Mus musculus: one gene and its partners. The protein of the gene in region 2 binds, or shares a complex with, the protein of the main gene of each other region. Links are inferred from orthologs where the notes say so. Each region holds a gene or a part of one and is shown on either strand. Other genes may lie near its edges.

The links.
Region 1: the proteins of Ptpn11 (region 2) and Pdgfrb are in contact, whole or in part, in a crystal structure (PDB 1AYA), measured with the Mus musculus proteins. Residues at the interface, in NP_001103462.1 of Mus musculus: Gly13, Val14, Glu17, Arg32, Pro33, Ser34, Lys35, Ser36, Thr42, Thr52, His53, Ile54, Lys55, Leu65, Gly68, Gln87, Leu88, Lys89, Glu90, Lys91, Gly93, Ile96; in NP_032835.2 of Mus musculus: Ser1005, Val1006, Leu1007, Tyr1008, Thr1009, Ala1010, Val1011, Gln1012, Pro1013.
Region 3: the proteins of Ptpn11 (region 2) and Gab1 are in contact, whole or in part, in a crystal structure (PDB 4QSY), measured with the Homo sapiens proteins. The link is inferred for Mus musculus from reciprocal best matches to the Homo sapiens genes PTPN11 and GAB1. Residues at the interface, in NP_002825.3 of Homo sapiens: Gly13, Val14, Glu17, Arg32, Pro33, Ser34, Lys35, Ser36, Thr42, Arg47, Thr52, His53, Ile54, Lys55, Leu65, Gly67, Gly68, Tyr81, Gln87, Leu88, Lys89, Glu90, Lys91, Ile96; in NP_002030.2 of Homo sapiens: Lys623, Val625, Glu626, Tyr627, Leu628, Asp629, Leu630, Asp631, Leu632, Asp633.

The regions. Positions count from the first base shown.
Region 1 is NC_000084.6:61,072,638-61,076,285, forward strand, and holds part of Pdgfrb (platelet-derived growth factor receptor beta isoform 2 precursor), read left to right. Parts: coding exon 1-125; intron 126-603; coding exon 604-708; intron 709-990; coding exon 991-1,101; intron 1,102-3,648. UniProt on the Homo sapiens protein: Tyrosine-protein kinase that acts as a cell-surface receptor for homodimeric PDGFB and PDGFD and for heterodimers formed by PDGFA and PDGFB, and plays an essential role in the regulation of embryonic development, cell proliferation, survival, differentiation, chemotaxis and migration.
Region 2 is NC_000071.6:121,160,328-121,163,975, reverse strand, and holds part of Ptpn11 (tyrosine-protein phosphatase non-receptor type 11), read left to right. Parts: intron 1-721; coding exon 722-838; intron 839-1,153; coding exon 1,154-1,267; intron 1,268-3,648. UniProt on the Homo sapiens protein: Acts downstream of various receptor and cytoplasmic protein tyrosine kinases to participate in the signal transduction from the cell surface to the nucleus. Positively regulates MAPK signal transduction pathway. Dephosphorylates GAB1, ARHGAP35 and EGFR.
Region 3 is NC_000074.6:80,768,855-80,772,502, reverse strand, and holds part of Gab1 (GRB2-associated-binding protein 1), read left to right. Parts: intron 1-326; exon of another isoform or gene 327-1,907; intron 1,908-2,729; coding exon 2,730-2,852; intron 2,853-3,648. UniProt on the Homo sapiens protein: Adapter protein that plays a role in intracellular signaling cascades triggered by activated receptor-type kinases. Plays a role in FGFR1 signaling. Probably involved in signaling by the epidermal growth factor receptor (EGFR) and the insulin receptor (INSR).

The DNA of each region.
Region 1 (3,648 bases), on a different chromosome or scaffold from region 2:
CTATGAGATCCGATGGAAGGTCATTGAGTCTGTGAGCTCTGACGGTCATGAGTACATCTACGTGGACCCTGTGCAGTTGCCTTACGACTCCACCTGGGAGCTGCCACGGGACCAGCTTGTTCTGGGTCAGTCCTAAGAGGTGTTAAGCAGCAGTGGGCACACTCAGATTTGCTCCCATCATGGTTGCTACTAGCTAAGGCATAGAGCTGATATCTTGCATCCTCTGGATCTCACTATCCTTTCTATATGGTGAAGATAAGGTGACCCCATAGCACCAAAACTCAGGGATCCCAAGACTGATATGGGACCCCTTCAGGTCAAAGAGGAAGTCCTTTGGATGTAGGCCAGGGAGTCTGAGGCAGGTGCAAAGGAGTTGTGCGTGTCCCTAAGAGACAGGAGGTCTTTCAGGGACTACAGGGGAGGCAGATAGCATGCAGGATCTAGAGGAGACCCAGAGGATGGGAAACTTCCCAAGGGGAGCACAGTAGGGCGGTTGGAGGGATGTGGAGGGTGATCTAAGGGAATATTCCCCAACCTAAATGGGAAATGGGATGAAGCTTGAAGCTTTAGCTTCCAGGAGCTGAGGGTCTCTATGCATCCTAGGACGCACTCTTGGCTCTGGGGCTTTCGGACAGGTGGTGGAGGCCACAGCTCACGGTCTGAGCCATTCGCAGGCCACCATGAAAGTGGCTGTCAAGATGCTGAAATGTGAGTCCACCCGCCCCTTCTTCACACCCGAGGCCTCACTCGGTCCCTCCCTTCCCTGGGCTTTTTGTTTCTTCTGAAGGAGCCTGGCCCTGAGGTTGTGGGACCGAAGGGTGCTTCTTCCTCCTTCTCTCCCCGCCTCCCACCTTCTTCCCTCTCTAATACAGTCCACCCTAGGACACTGGTGGTGTGACAGGATGGGGCAGAGGAAGCAGAGTAGGCCCTGGCAGGGCCTCTATACCACCTCAGTGGCCCACCCAGGCTGAGTCCCTCTCCCCCCTCCAGCGACAGCCAGAAGTAGCGAGAAGCAAGCCTTAATGTCCGAGCTGAAGATTATGAGTCATCTTGGACCCCACCTGAACGTGGTCAACCTGCTGGGGGCCTGCACCAAAGGAGGTACCGAACCCACAACCTGGAGGATTCTGGGGCTCCTCTCTTTCCTGTTCTCCCTCAGTCCACCAGCAACACAGGACACTCCAGCAGAATGTCCACACACCTGCCGCTCAGCGTTCTTATTGCACTGTCCTAGATGGACTTAGTTTCAGGATCTCAGAATCACAACTCCTTCATGATGAAGAGATTCTTCAGGCCGCTAGTTCCTGCAGCTTTAGAATTCAAGTCTTTTATGACTCTTCCTTCCTTCCTTCCTTCCTTCCTTCCTTCCTTCCTTCCTTCCTTCCTTCCTTCCTTCCTCCCTCCCTTCCTTCCTTCCTTCTTTTTTCTCTCTTTCTTTCTCTCTTTCTCTCTCTCTTTCTCTCTTTCTCATTCTTCCTTCTCTCCTTTTTTCCTTCCTTCCTGTCTCCTTCCTGTCTCCTTTCTTTCTTTCTTTCTTTCTTTCTTTCTTTCTTTCTTTCTTTCTTTCTTTCTTATTCTCTCTCTTCCTTCCTCTCTCTCTCTTCCTTCCTTTCTTTCTTCCTTCCTTCCTTCCTTTCTTTCTTTCTTTCTTTCTTTCTTTCTTTCTTTCTTTCTTTCTTTCTTTCTTATTCTCTCTCTTCCTTCCTCTCTTCCTTCCTTCCTTCCTTGCCTGCCTGCCTGTCTGCCTGCCTGCCTGCCTTCATGATGAAGTCTTGCCTGTATGTCAGTGTTCCTGTGTGTGTGTGTGTGTGTGTGTGTGTGTGTGTGTGTGTGTGCGTGCATATGTATGTGTGTCTGGTACTTGAGAAGGCCAGAAGAGGTCATCAGATCCTCTGAAACTGGAGTGACAGATGGTTGTGAGCCAGTGGGTAGGTGCTCGGTATTGAACCAAGGTTGTCTGCATGAACAAGTGCTCCTAACAGCTGACCATCCCTCCCACCTCCTTTTTCATATTTCCACAATACATTTTGAAAACCGTGAGAAAGTAACAGAGCCCATCCATGTACTAACCAGGAACTGGCTTTGTTTACATCAGTGTTGGAAGTCATTCTGCCAACTGCGATGATCTGAGGGCCTGGTTACCCACTGGGCTGTCAACATCGTAATAATCATGAAGTTATTGCCCTTTGCAGCTGCTTGTTGTGAGATCTGGGATTTTCCTCGGTGTTGTGTAATCAGCCTAAATACAGAAGTACATTGCGCATGGACTGTTGTCTGTGCTTGCAATGACCGTATTTCTTTTTTTTTTCTTTTTTTAAAAAAAGAATTCTTGTATCTTTATTCATGAGGGTTCTACTTCTCTTATAGGCCTTTTATATTTCTATCAAGGCAAAACATACTTCATTATAAATAAAGGAGGCAGCTCCCTCCACTTTCTCAAGTAATTGTTTAAAACTAATATTGGAGGAGCTAGAGAAAGCTCCCAAGGAGCCAAAGGGGTCTGCAACCCTGTAGGTGGAACAACAACATGAACCAACCAGTACCCCCGGAGCTCGTGTCTCTAGCTACATATGTATCAGAAGATGGCCCAGTCGGCCATCATTGGGAAGAGAGGCCCCTTGGTCCTGCAAACCCTATATGCCTCAGTACAGGGGAACACCAGGGCCAAGAAGTGGGAGTGGGTGGGCAGGGGAGTGGGGGCGGGGGAGGAGAGTCTGGGGGACTCCTGGGATAGCATTTGAATGCAAATGAAGAAAACACCCAATCAAAAGTATAAATTAATCAAAAACAACCCCTAATATTATATTCATACTTAAATGTTTGACAGAATTCACCAGTAAAGATATTAGACTTAGAATTTTCTTGGGATTTTATTTGGGGAACAGTAGAGAGACCGAATCTATGTACGAATTGTCCTGGAACTTGCTATATTCACCAAAATGGCCACAAACTCACTGAGACATGTCTGCTGAAAGCTGGAATTAGTATTGTGCAAGCCCCAGCTTGGAAGATTTTTTTTTAATTTTTTAAAATTAGGTTATTTTCTTCATCTACACCTCCAACGCTATCCCAAAAGTCCCCCACACCCTCCCCCACACTCCCCCACCCACCCACTCCCACCCCCTGGCCCCGGCGTTCCCCTGTACTGAGGCACATAAAGTTCACAAGACCAATGGGCCTCTCTTTCCAATGATGGCCGACTAAGCCATCCTCTGATACATATGCAGCTAGAGACACGAGCTCTGGGGGGTACTGGCTAGTTCACATTGTTGTTCCACCTATAGGGTTGCAGACCCCTTCAGCTCACTGGGTACTCTCTCTAGCTCCTCCATTAGGGGCCCTGTGTTCCATCCAATAGCTGACTGTGAGCATCCACTTCTGTGTTTGCTGGGCCCTGGCATAGCCTCACAAGAGGCAGCTATATCAGGGGCAATGACCGTATTTCAAAAGTGTTATTTTCATCTGTTAGATGGCTCTCAGTGCATTGAACTTAAGTGTAATCAGCAAATTGCACTAACAGTCACGTTCACCTGCTCTATGTAGAGCAGAATCCGAAATGTGTACCAGTCTGAAAACAGCAGCAGCAACCGATATCATAGGCTTGCTACATGCTGAGCCCTCAAAGGCATCTCAGGGGTCTTCATGTCA
Region 2 (3,648 bases):
GGGATGGAGCCTAGTACCTGTCCCATCACTGAGCTGCAGTCTCCTGCCTCCCCTGCCTTCCTCTCTTGCCGCCCCTGCCTCCTCAGCACTGCTGTTTCCTGTCCTTCAGAGTACGGTGCTGTTGGGGTTTCTGTTTCTGGGAGTCAGTCTCTAGGTTTCCGTTGATTGCAGTTCAGGTTTCTGCAGTTGGCCAGTTCAGTGCACCCATCACTCACTGCACACTACTTCAGATGCCCTCCCAGCCAATCTCCAGAGTATGCAACACTGTTGTCGTTGCTTCTGACTGGGGCTCCTGAGCCTGTTCACCATCCAGAGCATCTGTGGATCTTCCCCTGCCCCTAAGTCCTTCATAGTCACCATTTGACCTCTTGTCACAGTGTCTTGGACTTTTTTCCTTGGATACTACATATAAATGAGGGGACACTGTATGCTCCTTTCGCACTTGGATCATTTGCTTTACTGGGAGGCTCTCCTGCCTCATCCACTTGCCACCAATGACAGGGTTCTCTTGTCAAGGCCAAGTGTGGCTCCACTGTGATGACGTGGACACGAGGTATGTTAACATGATACATGTGTGTCTTATTCTCATCATGCTCTCTAGACAGACATGTGGCTTGTGTCTATGTACAGGTTCATGTCACTAAGAACACAGTGGCTGCAGGCAGGTAGGGAGACAGGAATGTAGCATGAGGTAATGGCGCCATCTGTTTGGTTTTGAAAGGAGCTGAAATACGACGTTGGTGGGGGAGAGCGCTTTGACTCTCTGACAGACCTGGTGGAGCATTACAAGAAGAACCCCATGGTGGAGACGCTGGGCACAGTCCTGCAGCTCAAGCAGGTCAGGATCCATGAGGACTGGCTAACAGGGGAAAGGGCTCAAGGGTCATTCCACAGCCACGTGACCCTGTTGCTTTGGGCCTGTGATGGCACATTTACCATGGCAGGAGCACACTCAGCACACAGGGATTACTACACATCTGAGAAACAGACAAGAAGGGGCGCTGATCTGCTGATCTGCTTCAGTGACACCCCCCCCCCCTCCCAATTTGGGATGATGTGCCTCCTGCCTTTGCTTCTGTGAAGTCTTTTTCTTTCTGCATTGATACTGTTTAAAACATGCTTTCTCCTTTTCCACCACTGCTGAACACAACAGCCCCTCAACACAACTCGTATCAATGCTGCTGAAATTGAAAGCCGGGTTCGAGAGTTAAGCAAGCTGGCTGAGACCACAGATAAAGTCAAGCAGGGCTTTTGGGAAGAGTTTGAGGTAAGTCACTGACAACTTGTTTTTCTGTGTGCTATTAGATGATGTTTAAACAGGTGAGAGGGCTGCACTGAGGCCTGGCTTCCTTTGCTGTGTGTGTGGCCGGTTGCTGAGAGACTTCTTTGAAGCAGAGGGGCATTGTGTTCCTGGGAAGGGTTGGCAGCTTGTCTCAGACAGATGTGCCAGCGGCTCCATTTACTTTTTGGTTCAGACCACTGGCAGGACCCCAGGAAAGCAGAAGGATAGAATTTCTCTGGCATCTGAGGGGCTTCAGACAAAAGGCAGCTTCAGTGCCATGTGTGAGGCCAGGAGAAGGGGCCTGGCTGTGAGTTCACAGCATAGCAGGGAAGTGAAGGGGCTGACCTCTGTCTTGAGCCCTGCTCGTGTGTGGGCCTGACTGTGGCCCTGTGCGCTCATATGCTGCCGACCCATGTGTCCTCTGGTTTGTCTGTCTTCTCTCCTTGCTCCTTTGACCAGAGCTTTACAGACAGATCTTCTGTCCTTGTTCCCTCCACAGTCACTCACCTTATGTCACTCACCTTATGTCACTCATGCCTGCACATAGCACAAACCTACAAATGTCTGTGCACTGTCTGCGTTTATATTTTGTTTTGTTTTTTCCAGACAGGACTTCTCTATGTAGCCCTGGCTGGCCTGGAACTTGCTCAGTAGACCAGGTTGGCCTCCAGCTTAGAGATCTGCCTGCTTCTGCCATCCCATGCCCATTTTAGAGAATATTTTTAATTTATTCTTTGATAGTTTGGAATGCAGCTAACACGCACCCTCCTCCATTTTCCCCTCCCTTTCCCTCCTTTCTGTTTCACAGGACTGGTTAGTCTATGCTTTGTGTAGGACTTGAGGATTCAGCAGCTGTTTGTGCCACCATGTGCCAGACAGCTTTCAGAGAGAGGTGCTAGTTCCATTCCACAGAGGAGTGTGAGGTCAGAGAGGTCGAGTAGATTGTCCACCCTCCTTAGCACAGATGTTGATAATCTCAGCCCTGGAGATGGGCCCATCCTAGAACATTCTTGGTGCTTGCTCTGCAGTGATGCATAGGGACTAGAACTTGGGTCTGGTCTCATATGAGCCATTGGGGTGGACTCTTTGAACACCATTCCGAAGTTTCCTGTTGAGAGAGACAGGGATAAAGGTGTCAGTGAAGGTCTGATGAGAGCAGAATGAGCCATGTGGCCATCTTTAAATTATTTATTTAGTGATTGGTCCTGCGGATCCAGTGCAGGACCTTGTGCAGGCAGAGCCTGTGCTGTCCCACTTAGCAGCACTTCATATTATCTTCCTCTTTTTCTCAAGATTGAATATTTCTATAAAGATGAGCCTTTTGCCACAAGTGTATAGCCAGTAGTTCATACTTGGTTGTCAATAAAATACTGTTCTCCAGTGTATTAATTACTATAAAGTAAAGGATATTTTAATATAGTCTTCAACACGAGGGTGAAGAGAGAAAGAGGAGCTGGGGAGATGCTGAGCCATCTTTGCAGCCCCCAGCTCTGAGTCTTCTGAGTGTAGCGCAGAGGAGATGATAGACTGCAGCTTCAGGTAGACATGTTCAGGTTTGCCTTGAACATAGTCTGTACCATTTCAGCCAGGAGTTGGCCCTGCTGTGGGAAACCAAAGCCCGCCAGACCTTACTCTCAAGAGAGGAAGAAGCTGGGGTCTTGCCATCCTCCCTGTCTATCTGTGTTCCTTTCTCCATCTACCTCCCTGTCCAGGATCTGCCTAGCTGCTAGTCCCTCATCTCTACCTCCCAACTGCTGGGATTCCAGTATGCACCGCCATCTCCCCGGTTCACCCTTTGCTCCGTGGCCATGGAAAACAAATTGTAGATGGCTTCCTTCCCTTCATAACACATGAGTTCAGCCTGTCTTTTATACACCAATAATAGCATAAAAGGAAAAAGTGAGTGGCTTTGTGTGCGGTGAACCAGTCAGGCTCCCATCTGTATTGTTGGGGTTGTCAGAGCATTGAGGGGTGGGTCCTGCAGATGAGATCTCAGATTGTCCCCAGCTCTCCAGGGAAGTCAGCCTTAAGAAACTGCCCGTTGAAACTGGAGTTGGGTCCATGAGGCTAAGGAAGAAAGGCTACTGCAGGTTGGGTTGTCGGAAGTTTACTCCTATTATAGTTTCAATCCCTGAAGCTAAAGTTTGAGCCTCACCTGCAGAACACTGTTATGAGCACGTCAGAACTGCTTCCTAGAGAATGATGAGTGCAGCATCCCGTGTTCCACGGTGTGCTCTGATTGGGGCTGGGGAGGTGGGGTGGTGGTGGTGGATCTCACCTTTCGAAGTGCACTCTGATGAGCTTTCAAAGGAGCCTGAATTCTACTACTTGAGTTGCTGCAGGGTGCTGTTATTAAGAGGAGGCTG
Region 3 (3,648 bases), on a different chromosome or scaffold from region 2:
TGGGAGGCAGAGGCAGGTGGATTTCTGAGTTCGAGGCCAGCCTGGTCTACAGAGTGAGTTCCAGGACAGCCAGGGCTACACAGAGAAACCCTGTCTCGAAAAAACCAAAGAAATACATACATACATATATATATATATATATATATATATATATATATATATATATATATATATATGTCATATTCTTTCCCCTCCCCTCCCTTTGAAAGCAAGAAATATGAGGATCCTTCACTATAATAATGTAACTGGGTACATACATATATGGTTTTCTTTTGTTTTGCTTTGTTTTGAGATATGAAGTTGCAGTTGTTAACCTAGGACAGTCCTTTTTCACTGTTCAAGGTTTATTTGGTGTTTTCATTGGCATGACATTTAAGTGGTTGGTTCCATCACCCATATGCAGATCTTACATTTCACATAATATTGCAGTGCACACTACAGACACATATAATACATAAAATATCCTGTAGAATATTTATGCAAAGTTATACATAATGGACGTACACACTGGAGCCAGGTTATGACTAACTGGGAACTCGTTGGCCTAGGCATGCTTGGTGAGGGTGCACAGGGCAGCAATGCAGAAGGCTCGCAGGGTAATCAAAGCCTGCACAGTTGGCAGTGTGTCTCGGAGACAGTGGGACTGTCACACTAACCAGGTTACCACTACACAAGTACCACTTGGCAGCAGGGCAGAGCTGTGGGAACTGAGATGTTTCCCCACACCACCTCAACATCATTGTACTAACCACAGCTCAGATGAGAAGGGTGTGGTCTCCATAGAATCCCTGCTGCAGCCTGGACAGTGAAGTGCGAGGACACTGGGAAGACTTTAGAACTGCAGCTCCTTCTCGATTCCCCAGAGGGTGTCTGCACTCTTCTTCAGGCGGGTCTCTTCCTCAGGAGTCAATGTCACCTTCACAACATCTGAGATTCCATTTTGTCCCAAGATACTTGGGACACTGAGGAAAACGTCATCATTGATTCCATAGAGACCTTTAATCATGGTGGAAATGGGATGCACCCGCCTAAGGTTCTTCGTTATGCTCTTGGCCAAGTCTGCCACAGAGAGGCCAATGGTCCAGGATGTGTAACCTCTCAGCTTGATCGTCGTATATGCACTGTCCACCACCTGCTTTTGAGCCTCCTTCCACTGCTCCTTAAAACAGTCTGTATCAGTGCCCAGTTCTGGGTTCAGAGACTTCAGGGAGACGCCAGCAACGTTCACACCACTCCACACAGGGACACTGGAGTTGCCATGTTCTCCCAGGACCCAGCTGTGACAGCTCAGAGGGTGAACCCCCAGCCTTTCTCCCATCAGGTAACGGAACCGAACTGAACCCAGATGGCAACCACTTCCAATAACTCGACTTTTGAGACAGCCACTGATTTTCCGAGCCACTTAGGTCAAAATATCCAAAGGATTTGAGACAATCAGCAGCGTGCAGTGTGGACTGTACTTGACAATGTTGGGAAGGATGAACTTGAAGATGTTCACGTTTCGCTGGACCAGATTAAGTCAGCTCTCTCCTTCTTGCTGACGGCCCCTGCTGTGATGACCAGCTTGGAGTTTGCAGTCACACAGTTGTCTTTGCTGGAGACCGTTTTTGGTGTTTTAAGGAAGAGGTTGCCACGCTGGAGATCCATCATCTCTCCCTTTAGCTTGTCTTCCATGACATCCGCCAAGTCCTTCATTAAGATACGGATGGCACAAGCCATGCCAACAGCACCAACCCCAACAACTCTAATCTTGTTCTGGGGGACCTGTTCTTCCTTAAGATCCACAGTCAGCTGGTCTTTGAGGGTTGCCATCTTGGACTTTGAATCTTTTGAGACCGCTAGAGCACGATGGGGGGTGATGGGCAAGCAGCAGCGTGGCCTGGGCTCAGCGACAGTGGCTCCAGCACCAGCCTAGGACAGTCTTGAACTTGTAATTCTCCTTCATCATCGGCTTCCGGATATCGGAATTACAAGTGCGCTTTCACACCCAGACCTGCATGGTTTTAAGAATGAGAGCTTTTGCAGCTGTCTGTGACTTGATGTCTAAGACTTTTTTTTATTATTACTCTTTACATAATTCTGAGTGTGTGTGTGTGTGTGTGTGTGTGTGTGTGTGTGTGTGTGTGTGCATCTTGGTTAGGGTTTCTATTGCTCTGAAGAGACACCATGACCACGGCAACTCATATAAAGGAAAACATTCCATTGGGGCTGGTTTATAGTTCAGAGGTTCAATCCATTATCACCTTGGTGGGAAGCATGGCAGCATCCAGGAAGGCCTGGTGCCTGAGAAGGAGCTGAGCATTCTGCTTCTGAGAGGGCAGGCAACAGAAGTGAATGTCTGAGCCGGAGGCAGACTTGAGCTTCTGAGACCTGAAAGAGACCTCAAGTGACACACCCATTCCAACAAGGCCTCACCTCCTAATGGCGCCACTCTCAATGTGCCAATGGGGGGACCATTTTCTTTCAGAGCCTCGCAGTTTGTTTCTGCGAAGGGTTACTTACCTGTGCAAACATGAGTAAAGTTATTTACTTGAGTAAGGGACAGTTACCAGTGGCTACAGCACTCAGGCTGAGTATTAGTTTAACTAAATTTAACTTCAGAGCCCAGGAGTTCAAGACCATTTTTGAACAAGGTAGTGACCCTCCCCATCCCCCAGGGGGAACAAGAGAGGGTGGGAGAAGAGGGCATCTCCTGAGTGTCTGCCCACTGTTCGCTGTTCTGTTTTCAGAATCTCTTTGCCAGCAACAGCCTTGATGGGGGAAGCAGCCCGATGAATAAACCCAAAGGAGACAAACAAGTCGAATACCTGGATTTAGACCTAGATTCTGGGAAGTCCACGCCACCACGGAAGGTAAGTGAGCCCGTGTTCTCTAGATAGGTCAAGCACACTTTGAGGGACCATGTTCTTTGGGGAAAGTTGGGGGCCTGATTATTTAAATTTAGTGACTGTTGTTTCCTAAGTCACAAGCAACAGAATCATGAAGTCTGATAGATTTGTTTCTCCCTTTGTAGAGGTCGGTCAGTTGTGCAGTTTCTACTCGTCATGGTCAGTGCTTTTGCTGTCTTTAGAATGAAGAAAATGTGGCTTGGATGAGTGGGGTAGCCACATCTTTAATCCCAGCACAGGGAAGACAGAATTTATCTGTAAAAAGGAAGAAAAGGAGAACATGGCTCATGGCTCAAGTCATATGCTGTTTTGTCTTAAATTTTAATTTCTATTAAACCTACCAATTACACAGTTTCTTTATAATTCTTTGGTTTTGGTGGGTTTTTTAAATATTTAACATATATGTGGGTATATGCACATGGGTGCAGTGTCCCTCAGAGACTGGAAGAGGGCATTAGCTCCCAGGAGCTAGAGTGACAACGGGTTCAGTTCCTCCGAAAGAGCAGTGTACAGCCTCCCCCACCCCCAGCCCTCCTTCCAGCCCGTGCATCACTGGACTTACTTTGTTATTTAAGTCCTATTTTCTTACATTGTTTTTGGCTTATCATTCTCTCTTAGACTCAGATTTTCAACAGTGTCCTGTTGAAGTCCCTGTAATCTGAAGGTCTTTTGGTAGTGAATTCTTCTCAGGTTGTGTATAACTGAAGTCTCTTTATTTTAGAAACAAGTTTTGTTGAGATCACAGTTCTTGTTTTTTTTC